3 linked regions of the Stegostoma tigrinum genome follow. The protein of the gene in region 1 binds, or shares a complex with, the protein of each later gene. Links are inferred from orthologs where the notes say so. Each region holds a gene or a part of one and is shown on either strand. Other genes may lie near its edges.

What was found.
Region 2: the proteins of rab8a (region 1) and rilpl2 are in contact, whole or in part, in a crystal structure (PDB 6SQ2), measured with the Homo sapiens proteins. The link is inferred for Stegostoma tigrinum from reciprocal best matches to the Homo sapiens genes RAB8A and RILPL2. Residues at the interface, in NP_005361.2 of Homo sapiens: Ile41, Gly42, Ile43, Asp44, Phe45, Lys46, Ile47, Lys58, Trp62, Phe70, Ile73, Tyr77; in NP_659495.1 of Homo sapiens: Leu135, Leu138, Arg139, Leu142, Gln143, Arg145, Asn146, Lys149, Ser150, Leu153, Glu157.
Region 3: the proteins of rab8a (region 1) and guanine nucleotide exchange factor for Rab-3A-like are in contact, whole or in part, in a crystal structure (PDB 4LI0), measured with the Homo sapiens proteins. The link is inferred for Stegostoma tigrinum from reciprocal best matches to the Homo sapiens genes RAB8A and RAB3IL1. Residues at the interface, in NP_005361.2 of Homo sapiens: Lys10, Phe33, Ser35, Phe37, Ile43, Asp44, Phe45, Lys46, Ile47, Gln60, Trp62, Thr72, Ile73, Thr75, Ala76, Tyr77, Arg79; in NP_037533.2 of Homo sapiens: Arg104, Glu108, Leu111, Glu112, Thr115, Ala116, Phe119, Glu120, Ala122, His123, Arg127.

Annotation. Positions count from the first base shown.
Region 1 is NC_081383.1:45,604,564-45,609,293, reverse strand, and holds the start of rab8a (ras-related protein Rab-8A), read left to right. Parts: upstream 1-1,498; 5' UTR 1,499-1,874; coding exon 1,875-1,998; intron 1,999-4,730. Other genes in the region: E3 ubiquitin-protein ligase arkadia-A-like, read right to left, coding at 23-426. UniProt on the Homo sapiens protein: The small GTPases Rab are key regulators of intracellular membrane trafficking, from the formation of transport vesicles to their fusion with membranes.
Region 2 is NC_081395.1:4,467,359-4,471,919, reverse strand, and holds rilpl2 (RILP-like protein 2), read left to right. Parts: upstream 1-1,392; 5' UTR 1,393-1,573; intron 1,574-1,705; 5' UTR 1,706-1,750; coding exon 1,751-2,326; 3' UTR 2,327-3,438; downstream 3,439-4,561. UniProt on the Homo sapiens protein: Involved in cell shape and neuronal morphogenesis, positively regulating the establishment and maintenance of dendritic spines. Plays a role in cellular protein transport, including protein transport away from primary cilia.
Region 3 is NC_081370.1:18,134,824-18,139,553, forward strand, and holds the start of guanine nucleotide exchange factor for Rab-3A-like, read left to right. Parts: upstream 1-1,518; 5' UTR 1,519-1,792; coding exon 1,793-1,965; intron 1,966-4,730. UniProt on the Homo sapiens protein: Guanine nucleotide exchange factor (GEF) which may activate RAB3A, a GTPase that regulates synaptic vesicle exocytosis. Promotes the exchange of GDP to GTP, converting inactive GDP-bound Rab proteins into their active GTP-bound form.

The sequences.
Region 1 (4,730 bases):
TTTATAAGCAGCAAGTTCGTACCTGTAGCTTCCTGCCCACAGTGTCATCCTACCCTCATTCTTCTCTGATGACAGTTCATCAGATTCAGCTAGGTTAGTACTGGAAGATGGAGATGAATCACCAGCACTTGAAGAGTCCTCACTGGTGTAAGTATAACTCCGCACCAGATGCCGATCACTTTGCAAAGCAAGCTTGAGCTCTGCTGAAAAGCAGGAATGCTCAGAGTTCAGATACTCTGGCCACTGTGCAGCATCAGGTCCTTTCACTTCCGGAGTTGAATGCACACTGTTTTCATGGATAATGCTACTGAATGCTGAAGGGCGCGAACTGTCCAAAATAGTCACTGGGGCCTTTCCCGTAGATTCTTCATCTACGTTGGCAGCAAATGGGATCTCTGGTAGATCTGCTTCTGGTTCCATCGCCATTACAGCACAGTAGAAAGTAGGCCCTGTAATTCAAAAAAAAGTCAAAATCTAAGAAATAGCAATGATCTCTGAGATACAAACTTCTTTGTTAAGCATACTGTTTGGTTTTACAAAGACATGACAGCTGTCTTCTGCAAACATTTCACTCCAGGAAGAGTCACACAGACTCGTCATAACACATTTAACATATTTGCATGTATAAGTTACAGAAAAATAAACTCCAACCTTCTTTAACGTTTTGTACAAAGTAACATAGCACTTACAACCTGGCTCATATCACAGAACAAATTGTCAAAAGGAATTTCACAGGTGCGAGAAAAAAAACGGATATTGAGCCAAAGAAAAAGCTAATCAGAAAGATAACCAATGGGCCAATTAAAAAAAAGGTTATCCTAAGGGTCTTAAAGGGCGATTGGAGAGATCTAAGGAAGGAAACCCAAAGTTACTAAGTCTTACCAGACTAATGGTACAGCCTTCAACGAGGGTGAAAAGTGGACCCCACATTATGAATTCCTCATCTTCACTGATAGTTATTACCTGGGCTTAGATTGTTGAGGTCCCAAGGCTGGGACATCAGAATTCCAACATATAGGATACTTTAAACATTTCATGTGCACAAGATGAGATTGCTTCACATAACCTTTTGTTGAAGTTCCAGTGACACCAGATTACAATTTAAAATAAACAATCTCAGCAAGAACTACGCTAATGACTGTCAGGAGGGAGAATTCCTCATCGGTCTCTGTCTCTGAGAGGACGATTCCTCACTCTGGGGGCCGGGAGAAGGGAGTATTCCTCATTAGGTCCTAAACCCGGGCAGGAGGCGTGCGTGTCTGGGCCCTCAACTGGTGGCGTTGTGTATGTGTGTGACTGGGGGAAGGGGCTGTTCCTCACTGACCTTTGCGGCCTGGCGCTGATGCAGCGGGCGAGAGGAGCCCCAGGTACAAGCTCAGTTCTCGGCCTCTTCCCACAGCCCCAGGCCCCGCTCCGGTTCACACAAACAGGCCACACTCTCATTCACCGTGACCTCACTTCCGCAATCTCGGGGGGAGGGGGGCGGGAATACAAGGAGCTGTCGATAAAGACAAGAGGTGCCGCTCTGTGACTCTAGGAAGTCGAGCCGGTCCCCTAGGCTCCTAAATATTTCCATTCATCCCAAGTCACAGGAAGTGATAAGAGCTGAGCGAGATCGAAGGCTGTACTCAGCAGCCTGTCATTACCAGCTTAGAAGCCGCGGTTCAGCCGCCGACGCTGACTGTTCCCAGCGGAAACGGTTGTCACGGCGAGAAGGGAGCCCATTTGTGATTGACAACGGGACTAGCCAATAATTATCCAACTTGTGGGCGGGGTCTGCCTCATTGCCCAATCAGCTGTGCAGTCTTTCCGATATGGGCCAATGAGTGGCTGGAAGGCGGGACATCCGGCGGAGCGGGGCGCGGGAGGCGGCCATGGCGAAGACCTACGATTATCTCTTCAAATTGCTGCTGATCGGCGACAGCGGCGTCGGCAAAACGTGTGTTCTCTTCCGCTTCTCAGAGGACGCCTTCAATACTACCTTCATCTCCACGATCGGTACGGATTGGAGAAATTGAGGCCTGGGAAGGGTTTACTGTATCGGGGCCTAGCGGTTGGTTCCGGGATAGAGAAGCCGCCTGCCTGGGTCTCCATCCCCCTTTGCCTTGTCTCTCCACCACCTCCTCTACTCTGGGAGTATGAGGACCGGCGTGTCAGATTCCAGCCACTGGAATACCGGATATTTCTGCCAGGACCTGTCAACGCGTTGGGGGATAATTGCCCGCTTCCCGCCCCTCTTACACCTCAGTTCTGTCAGCGGTTAGGTTATGTATGACCTGGTTCTGTTTTGTCTGGCGGGCGAGATTCGTTTCCCTCATTCTTGTGCGCTCTTTTATTTTGTTTTCATTACTTTTTTCAAAGTTTAAAAACACCATTTTATGTTTCAAACCAAATTTGTAGGACCTACACACTATATTTAAGTCCCTTGAATGTGTATCATGACAAGGTTTCCCGCTGTAGGATGGTTTAGGTTGGTGGCATAGTATGCTGTACAGCCTAAACGTGTAGGAAGTGATAGACACGGCTGGCAGTTTAGTTGACCACATATGAGGGATTGATAGATGGCAAGGTGTGGAGCTGGATGAACACAGCAGGCCAAGAAGCATCTTAGGAGCAGGAAAGCTGTTATTTCGGGCCTAGACCCTTCATCAGAAATGGGGGAGGGTAAGAGGGTTCTGAAATAAGTAGAGAGAGAGAGGAGGTGGATCGAAGATGGATAGAGGAGAAGATAAGAATATAAGACATAGGAGCAGGTGGAGAGGAGACAGACAAGTTAAAGAGGTGGGGTTGGAGCCTGTAAAGGTGAGTGTAGGTGGGGAGATGGGTCAGCCCAGGGAGGACAGACAGATCAAGGGGGCGGGATGAGGTTAGTAGGTAGGAAATAGGGGCGTGGAGAAGAGGATAGGTGAGAGGAAGAACAAGTTAGGAAGGCAGGGACGAGCTGGACTAGTTTTGGGATGTGGTGGGGGGAGGGGAGATTTTGAAGCTTGTGAAATCCACATTGATACCTTTGGGCTGCAGGGTACCCAAGCAGAATATGCGTTGCAGTTCCTGCAACCTTTGGGTGGCATCGTTGTGGCACTGCGGGAGGCCCAGGATGGACATGTCATCTGAGGAATGGGAGGGGGAGTTAAAATGGTTCGCGATCGGGAGGTGCAGCTCTTTATCGCGAACCGAACGTAGCTGTTCAGCAAAGCAGTCTCCAAGCCTCCACTTTGTTTCCCCGATGTAGAGGAGGCCGCAACTGGAACAGCGATGCGGTATACCACATTAGCAGACGTGCGAGTGAACCTCTGCATCCCGCCCCCTTGACTTGTCCGACCTCCCTGGACTCCTCCCTACACTCACTTTACAGGCTCCATTCCCTCCTCTTTAACTTGTCTGTCTCCTCTCCACCTATCTTCTCCTCTATCCATCTTCGATCTGCCTCCCCGTCTCTCGCTGTTTATTTCAGAACCCTCTTCCCCTCCCCCATTTCTGATGAAGAGTCTAGGCCCGAAATGTCAGCTTTCCTGCTCCTAAGATGATGCTTGGCCTGCTGTCTTCATTCAGCTCCACACCTTGTTATTTCGGATTCTCCAGCATCTGCAGTTTCTATTATCTATGGGGGATTGCTGCTCGTTTTACAAGCTTTAATGTTGCTTTTGGAGCATAGGGTAGGGATACTATAGTGCAAAGGGAGGCTGAGAGTTAAGTGAAACCTTGTCTAGACATGCATTTCATTGTTAGAAGAAGGGAAGCAGCAGTTAGTCAGTAAATCCCCACAGTGTAACTCTAGAATAGATATTCTGTATTGGGAAATGGTGAGAGTGACAGTTCCTTGGGGGAATGCGTTTGGAGCCAAGCAGCCCAGAAGAGGAGCAGACAAAGTAAGAGCAATAGCAATAGGAGACTCAGTAATGAGGGATGCAGTCTGACACTTCTGTGCTGTAGATGTGATTTGAAGATGTATGGCGCTTCCCTGGATCCAGGTTCATGGATGCCACCTCTGCAAGCGGTTCTGAAGTGGGAGAATGCACAGCCACAAGTTGTGGTTTACCTTGATGCCAGTGACATTGGCAGAATGAAGGATAAGGTTCTGCATCAAGAATTTAGGGAGGTAGGTAGCAGATTGAAAAACAGGACCTCAAAGGTTGTAATCTCTGGATTACACCGATGGCCATGTACTAGTGAAAAGAAGAATAGCTGGTAGAGGGGATGAATGTGTGGCTGAAGAGTTGGAGCAGAAGAGAACACTTGAGATTCTTGAATCACTGGGTCTGTTTCTGGGGAAGGCTGCAAATGAACCACAATGGGACTAAGATCATTGCAAAGAGGTTTGCTAGAGCTGTTTGTGAAGGTTTAGACTCAGTTGACAGGGGAATATGATTTGGGGTGGTGTTGTACAGAAAAAATGTAGCAAAGTCATGCCAGGCAGGGCACGAGAGAACTCGGCAGGGCACGAGGGAACTCAGCAAGGCTAATGGCATTTCCTTTCATGCAAGGAGTCTTATGAGTAAGGCAGATGAGTTGAGAATGCTCAATTGTTTGGCTGAATTGGCTGGATGAGTGGTTTGTAATGCAAAGTAAGGTCAGCTGCATAGATTTGATTTTTGCACTAGGTGAGGTCATAAAGGTCCTGCCTTCTCAACCTCCACTCTCACCTAAAGTGTGATGACCCTCGGGTTAAATTCACCACCAGTTGTTTTTCCTCTTTCTCTCTGTCAGTCATGAGAGAGCAGCCCTTTGTT
Region 2 (4,561 bases), on another chromosome or scaffold:
TAGGGATCAAATTAAAATAGAGTTTGTGGGGAAAACAATGTGCTCCACACCCCACAATGTCCACCTCCCCAAAAGGCATCAACAGCACCAGTACTCACGACATGCTCCTTCTCCAGGGACACCCGGGCACAGACATAGCCTTGGTGGAGGGGCAAGCAGTCAGCCATAATAACCTCCCCCGCAACAGTCCGCTGCCTGGACCTATTAATGGTCAGGCCCACGAGCAGATTCATGAGGCAATTTTCTGATCTGCTGCACCCAATTCACCCTTTCTATGTCAGTCAGCTCCCTGATTGGACCAGATTTACAGCCTCAATCAGGGAATTCGTATTCCTGAACTAAGCTTCTTGAGCACTGTTGGAGGCACATCTATCTGGGCAAATGGACAGTATTCTATCACCGAGATGCTGCTTGGCCTGCTGTGTTCATCCAGCTTCACACTTTATTATCTAGTATTCTATTACGCCATTGGCATATACCTTGTAAACAGTGCACAGGCATTTGACAGAAAGGAACTCCTCGTATCTGACATCCTTTAGTAGCCGCAGATTTTGTCCTAATTTTCTGTTTTTGTTTCATATTTACAGCATGCACAAATCTTTGTTTTGTTTGAGAGGAATGGAGTGGTTTGAAATGTATCTTTTATTTCAAAGCCAAAAACAGCTTTGAATATTTGAAAATCAAGTTGAAAAGCCAATCGCTAGCCCTCAGTAAATGCATGGGTAAATGCAGGCCCTGACATTACACTAAATTGTATAGAGCAGGCATGTTCCATGCTGGGATATCAGTTGGGGAATGACAACTGTCCTCAAGATACCGGAAGCGGGTTGAATCAGCCAGGGTGCTCACTTCCAATTTCTACCAGAAGCCTCTCCCAGGAAGTTTAAAATTACGTTTGATGATGGCCACGGTTATGAAAGATCTATTCGGAACACGCTATCAGGGCCACTTGGTTGTAATACTGGCACATGGTTGACACTTGAAACTACACCCCAGCATAACTTGCTGGCATAGATTCCATGGCCGAATGGCCTGCTTCTGTGCCGTAAATGTATCAGTACTACTGGAAACGACGGAATAAAAACAAAGTTGCTGGAAAAGCTCAGCAGGTCTGGCAGCATCTGTGAAGGAAAAGAGTTAACGTTTCGGGTCCGGACCCGAAACGTTAAATCATTTTTTCCTTCATAGACGCTGCCAGACCAGCTGAGCTTTTCCAACAACTTTGTTTTTGTTCCCGATTTACAGCATCCGCAGTTCTTTCAGTTTTTATTTAGAATGGCGGAATATTGTGCAAAAAACTGTGAAAGAAAACGGGGGACAAATGTGAATAACAGTACTTTGGACAATCTATTACAGAAAAAGAAAACTTACTTTGAAAGGGGAACAAAAAAACGCAGACACAAATTTCGACTTCTCTCCAGGTATCGCTAAGCAACTAGAGGGGCATTGCAAAACAGACGCCTGGATTGGTTTAGAAATCTGCCGATCAAACAACAGTCAAGCTTCCCGTCATGTGAAACCCGGGTACACAAAGAGGAAGTGTGAAATACAGTTATTCCGCTGTTTGGAGCAGGTAATAAAACAGAAATCTGCCCATTATTACATGCCTGTTGTTTGAATATGCAGAGTGAAGCTTTTCTGAAGCTTTAGTCATTTGTAAGACAGCAGTTCTTCATTTTAAATGATCGTGTGGTTTTAATTTCAGTTTAAGTCCAACAGTGGAGTGAGGAGGCACAGCAAGGGAAAATCGATGGAGGAGGAATTGAACGCAACATCAGCATTTGAGAAAGATCCGTTCAAGCTCACAGCTGAAGATGTCTACGATATGTCTTATGTCATTGGCCGTGATTTATTCAAACTCAGTAGCTCAGAAGATAGCCGTACAGTCTCCGAGCTGCAATATAAAGTAATCAGAGTTCTAGAAATATTCGAGTTGTTGGTGGACAGGCAGAACCTATCAGTCGAGAAACTGAAAATTGAACGGGACAACCTGAGGAAGGAAACGGAAAGGCTTCACAGGGAACTCCAAGTGGCAACAAGCGATTCAGAGAAAGAGAAGAATGGAACAGACAAACTGGTGGTCGATGTTAATGACCCAAATCGGCCTCGTTTCACGCTCCAGGAATTGACGGATGTGTTGCAAGAACGCAACAAACTTAAAGCTCAGTTACTTGTTGCTCAAGAAGAACTGGAATGTTATAAAAGCGGATTAATGACCACAAAGGAGCCACAAAGGCTAGAAAAGAAGGCATCTGGTGCAAATCGTGAAAGTGAACAAACTACGGTTAAGAAACTGTTTTCTCTCAAATATCGAAAAAATCATTAAGCATGCGGGACACAAGGATCTTTTAAAAAGGTTTCTGAGCACTCATACTTTCGTAGTCATAATACTCATTATTTTCTTAAACGGAATGTACTGATGCAGGAATTTTCAAAGTTTAATTTTCTAAGAATCCAAAAAATAGGTTTGTTACTTGTAAAAAGTTTTTTTTAAGAAAAGCTGTATTTGTTTTGCTATGTAGAGCAAGACTGCAAAAAGAACTTAAAAGTAGACTTAATTTCTAAGTATGTTTCAGAGATAGTTGGAACTGCAGATGCTGGAGAATCTGAGATAACAAGGTATAGAGCTGGATGAACACAGCATCAGAGGCTGACGTTTTGGGCCTAGGTTTCTGGAGAAAGGTCTCGGCCCAAAACATCAGCCTCCCTGCTCCTCTGATGCTGCTTGGCCTGCTGTGTTCATCCAGCTCTGCGAGATAACAAATTGTGGAGCTGGATGAACACAGCAGGCTAAGCAGCATCTTAGGGGCACAAAAGCTGACGTTCCGGGCCTAGACCCTTCATCAGAAAAGGGGGATGGGGAGAGGGTTCTGAAATAAATGGGGGGGGGAGGCAGACCAAAGATGGATAGAGAAGATAGGTGGAGAGGAGAATATAAGTGGGGAGGTAGGGAGGGGACAGGTCAGTCCGGGGAGGATGGACATGTCAAGGGGGCGGGATGAAGTTAGTACGTATTCTGATTCTCCAGCATCTGCAGTTCCCATTATCTCTGATCTCTCATCCAGCTCTACACCTTGTTATCCCTTAATTTCTAAGTAGTCATTTTTTCTTAATTTTGGGGCATAGCTTCGATGTGCTTATTTAACTCAACTAGAAATCCAGAGGCCTGGGCTAATGATTTGTAGACTGGAGTTCAATGACAGCAAGGAAATGTAAAAAAATCTGGAATCTAGCACCCCTGAGGATGACCGTAGAACTTCCATATGCTCATAAACTCTGGTTCACCTGGGGAAGGAAATCTGTCATCCTTTAAAGTTTTGGCAAAGATCTGTAGCTCGGGTTGTGGATGGGGTTGTTGCTTGCTCACCAAGCTGGCTTGTTTTTGTTCAGACGTTTCGTTACCATGCTAGGTGACATCATCAGTGGAGCCTCCAATGAAGCAATGTTATTCCACTCCGCTTGGAATTTATACATCCAGTCTGTCACGGTGAGTCCTGTAATTTCTGGTTTTGATCTGTATGGGTTTGTATATGGGGTCCAATTCTATATGTTTGTTGACTTAAGTATGGGTGGAGAACCATGCCTCTAAGAATTCCTGTGTGCATCTATGTTTGGCTTGGGCTACTATGATTACCTTGTCCTAGTTAAATTGATGGCCTCCACTGTCTGAATGGACCGATATTAAGGAGAGGTGGTTATTGCCGTTTTGTTGTTAACTGCTATTGAGGTATTCTGATGGCTAGTTTCCTTTGAATCTGTCGGATGTAATGTTTTTATGGCAATTGTTGCATGATATTTTGTAAACCACATTGTTCTGCATGTTGTGGAAATGGGGTCTTTAATCCTTGTAAATGTTTGTCGTAGAGTGGCTGTGGGCTTGTGGGCCACTGTGATTCCTGGTTGTCTTAGGAGTCTTGTCAATTCCGATATGTTCTTGATGTAGGGCAATGTGGCCAGTGTGTTGGGTATACTGTGTCCTCCTGTTGCTGTCTGTTTTGTAGGCATCTATAGATGAAGTTGTGGGGATATCCATTTAAAGCGATGATCTTGTATAAATGTTCTTCCTCTTTCCTTTATGGTTCTAGAGTGTTGCAGTGTGTCCTGGCTCATTTAAATAGTGTCCTAATGCAGTTTTGTTTGTGGTGGAAGTTGAAAAATTGATCCATATGGGTTGCCTTTCTGTATACCCTAGTTTGGAACTCCTTGTTTGTCAATCACTCTACGTTAACATCCAGAAACGGAAGTTGATTGTTGGTTTCTTCTTCCCTAGTGAATTTAATCTTTGAGTAAGCTGTTGATGAGGTGGTGGGTCTCTAACTTGTTGCGTTTAATAATAACAAATGTGTCATCTACATTCCGAGTCCACAGTTTAGGTTAAATGCGAGGGAGGGTGGTGTGTTCCAGTCTTTGCATGACTGCTTCTGCAATGAGTCCTGAGATGGGTGACCCCATTGGTATACCATTGATCTGTTTCTGGATGTTAAAGTACAGCAATTGACAAACTGGAAGTTCCAAACCTCAGTACACAGAAAAGCAACCCACACTGATCAATTCCTCAATT
Region 3 (4,730 bases), on another chromosome or scaffold:
TTCTATCCGCCTCCTCCTGTCTCCCCATTTATTTCAGAACTCTCTCCCCCTCCCACATTTCTGAAGGGTCTAGGCCCGAAAAATCAGCCTTCTTGCTCCTCTGATGCTGCTTGGCCCGCTGTATTCAACCAGGTCTGCACCTTGTGATCTCATATATGATCCATCAAACCAGGCTTCATTTCAGGATCTGACTTGTCCAGTATTTTTATCAGTTGGAATTATAATACATTTAAAAATCTCCTTGAAAATGACATACTTTTGTGATCATACCAATATCTCCTTGTGTAGCTTGATATCATATTTGTTTAATTATGTTCTGATAAGCATCCTAGGATGGTTGATAGTGTTAAAGGTACTCTACGAATATGTGTTTTTTGTTGCTAGTCTCATCAAACCAACTAAATCATCCTAGCAAACAAAACCAGATATGCTGTTTTACTCTGCTTTTTTTCCAAAGCTGCTCAGTTTAGCCCTTAGTTATGGTGTGATGAACCATGAACATCATCATTGTCAAACGATGTTTTGATATTTGAGACAGAGATTCAGTGAGGTGGCAATGTTCTTGCAATCCTGTTCTGTGAGTTTAGCAGTTCGAACAAAGATCAATTAACTCATCATAAACTTTGTCTGGCCCGGCGAAAATTTTAACTCATTGAGGAATGGATCAACTTCTGGGGGAGAAGTTTAAATTATGGTCTTATGCACTGAAATCCCTCAGCATTTTCACTCCTCGGCTTTTGAGAGCATTGAGATCATCTTCTTAAGGTAGCTAGGGATCTTAATTATCAAAAGTTTAAATTCCAGTGATGTAATTCAGTCTCTGATACTGCATTAACAGTGACTTGCATGAACCTGCAGACCACCAGGGGCTTACAATTCTGGGAGCTGGGACCAGGAGTGGAAACACTTTCTGCTTTTCTGTCTTCATCTCTCCCTCCTCAACTATAACTGACTTACTTATTCAGCTTGCTAGAACTAGTCTCTCAAACTTTGTGATTGCCGATATTTTGCTGGGGTAAAAGGGCAACATTGCCCATCCCTAAATGCCCACAAGGCAGTTGAGAGTTAACCGCTTTGTTATGGATCTGGAGTTACATGTAGGCCTGGCTGGGTGAGGATGGCGGTTTCCTTCCCTGAAGGACTTTGTGAGCCAGATGGATTTTCCCACCAATCAACAATCATCTAATGGCCATCTGTAGATTCTTAATTTCTGATATTTTTATTGAATTTAAACTCCACCATCTGCCATGACGGGATTCAAATATTAGCTGAGTTTTTGGATTAATAGTCTAATGGTAATACTACTAGGCCATGGCATCCCTGCATTAATAAATCTCTGGATTTAAGATTGGCTGTAGACTTGAAGCTTATTTATCTCTTTTCTTTCAGTCTTTCCTGAGAGTATTTCATTGCTTAGCTTTTGTCGCCTGGAGTTAATTATTACGGGGCAATAACAAATGAAGCTGGTTCTTATTACAGCCTGTGTCTGACTGGCCAAGGGTCAAAGCGTCTCTCGGTGTGTCCTTACGTCAGTAAAAAGCTGCAGCTGAGGACTGAGAGTATGAGGTGCTTGTGTCTGTTATTAGTTACGACCAACCAACTCACTTCCAAAAACGTTTCCAAGTTTGTTTTTGCTGTGCAAATTTTCCATTGCCTTATTATGCGGGAAGCCAAAACAAGGAAACAGAGTTAGGGACTGCAAGATGGAGCCGGGATCAAGAGGAGTTCACACTCTGGGAGGTCTCATAAACAGGGTTATGAGGTAAATGCAGCTGATTTCAATTTCCAGAGAATGAATCTGGACTTGGCGATGACAGGAGAAACAGTTCAAGGGGATTGCACCACCTCTGCCCCTCACATTCCTGCAGGACCTCTCAGCAGGTGTACACAGCCCTGTCCGGATGGTACAAAGTTTCTGGAATCTTGCACAATGCTAAACAGTGAAGAGCAGTCAACCATTGACAGGTAGGAAATATTGTGAAATAAACACAGAGCGGGGAGATTTGGGGAGGGGGTATAAAGTATAATTGCTTCTTATGCACTGTCGTGTTTTCAGACCAGAGTCTGATCAATACTGTCAGTCAAAGTAATGCGGGGACATTCCACAGTCCTAAGTCACCAAACTGTGTGGCAACAAAATTACACAGAGTGGCTTCTGAAATACAAATGGAACAATAATCAGTTCAAAGCCCACTTTTAATCTGGCCACGACGTCTCTGTTGAGAAGATTGAGATAATGTTGAAGGAAGCCTGAGCACTGCAGGAAGATTTTTTAATCAATTAGAGATGTGGAGAAGTTTGTTTTTCAAATGCTTGAGGAAGAGGAATACATAAATAAATAAAACACCTGAGCCACACAGGAATTTGTAGTTTCACTGTGGGAAATAATGCAGGACAAGTCATTGAAACAGAAGGCAGTGTTGAAGGAAAGACTAAATAAATTATATTATCATTTTACATGTGAAGATTCGACAACTGCTTTTGATCTGCAGTGTGGAAAATTGCATATGCCACTGATCCTATACAAACTCTAGGATATTCACTGCGACTAGAAATGACAGAGTCAGCAGGTGACAGATAATGCTGTAAGTGAGCAACTTATTTACACTAATGTGTAGCATAGCACCACAGAATGCCTCAACACAGACAAGCAAAGACATTCTATATCATATATATTGTCAACTAAATGGGAGGTATTCCATATGCATCAAGAAAAGGAGGCAATGGGATTTCTGCAGAAAATCAGTGTTCAGTTTCACACCAGGATAGTCTAGAACATTTACAAGAGGAACCTGGCTCCACAGAAGATGGCAGCCACACAGCACAGTCAAGCAACAGCAAGGTGTTCCCACATTAGAAATAGTGAGACAGAAGAAAATAACATTTAACAGTACCAGAGTACTCTATCTAAAGATTATCAGTGCTATATGTTGGCAACAGAGTATGTAACTAGAGAATTATTAAGGCTAGATATCCTTCCTAATGCAGATAAAGCAGTTATGGAGGAAATGTCTGATTCTAATGCTTCTTACTGTAAACTTTAACCAAGTCTGGGACTCAGAATACTACCTGGGACTTCCTTCTTGATGCCCCAACTGTGACATAGGTGGAGTCCTCACAATATCATTGTCTGTACGAGAAAACCCTCATGTGGAAGTAATGCCACTACCTATAGAGAGAATCACTTTTTACCCAAGGACAATCTTAATTGCTTCATCTTTGGAATAATCTTTAAAATAAATGCTCATTCTTCTTGTGGTCTACCTGACTCGACGGGGTGGGGGAGTGTGTGTGTGGTGAAGGTGTGGAGTGATGTTGTCGCACTGGATGATACAGCTATAAACCCTTTACATCAGGGATGACACTCATTCTATTATGAGCCTTGATGAGTAAAATTGGTAATTTTGTACACAGCATATTTAAGTAGATCATATTCCCTCTTAGCGCTGAACTGAGAATGTCCTTGCTTATTTATTATATAAATCTTGGAGACAACAATTGTTGGGGGCCTGACTCCAACTCACAGAGATACAATGCCATTTTCCAACTCACTGCACCACTAAGAAATTTAACATGGTTTGGCGAGTTTTGAGAAGATTAACATGGTTTGGTATATTTCAATAGAAATAGGTACAAACTTGCACAGCTAGAGAAGAAATAGATTCGTTGAGCAAAGACTCATTAAGTGTTATTTCCTGTGAGGTAAAGTAAGATATACTAGATATTTTATATCTAGAACTATGTAAAATCTTTCAATTCAGCAACTGGCCATTCAGCGGCACAAATCTTTTGCCAGTGTTTATGTTCTACACAAGCCTCTTTCCCAACCCAATTCAGCTGTCCTATACCCTTTTTATTTCTCTCTACTCTTATACTTATCTAGCTTTCCTTTAAATGTATCTACACTAATTGCCTCACCGTTTCATGTGGTAGCATACTTCGTACTGTAAAAGAATATCTAAAGCAACCTAAAGCTTAAAACACTTGCAATAAACTGTAGTTTGAGGAGGTTTCTGGCTGAATTATACATTAGACAAAATGTGCCATGTGCTCTGAGTGGCTGGAGCAGTGGAATGTAATGTACAATGTTCACTCAGTTGATTATTTAGGGAAATGCGCCCTCAGTGTTGCATGTGGTGGTAATCTGAACTGTAGGCAATATAGTTTTGTGGCTTTCCAAAGGATGAAAGGAGGGTTGAAACCTGTTGCCTGGATTCTGAACTTTATTGCTGGATGAGGAGAAAAGATTCAAAAAGTATATCTATATAAATTGAGGTTTAATAGTTGCTCTTCACAATAGGCAAATAGCCCCAAGTTCACCTTGGCCAATGCTGTGTTGTCCTTATTCAAACAAATGGGTTAACTCTCTGTCATTCACTGAGCTTTGGCCTGCAACCAATATAAACATATACAATGGACTGCAAGTTCTTTTCAGATATCCTAATCTGTTCCCTTGCAAATAGAAACCTTATTCAGAGTCATTTGTGCTCTAAGTATTACTATGAAGTGTAAAGTCTAAGCAAACATAAGATCATCAAAGATTAACTTTGAGGAGAAAAGTAATCTGATAATGGGCACATTCTAAATGCTGTGAATTTGATAACTTTTACTGTCATTAGAATTTTTTTATTCCTGTACTTTCACTGCTGTTACAGTTTCCCAGTGATCATTTAATTGGAGGGAATTACTGATGTGATATTGAGCTATGTTGATCAAGTGGGTTTAATTTT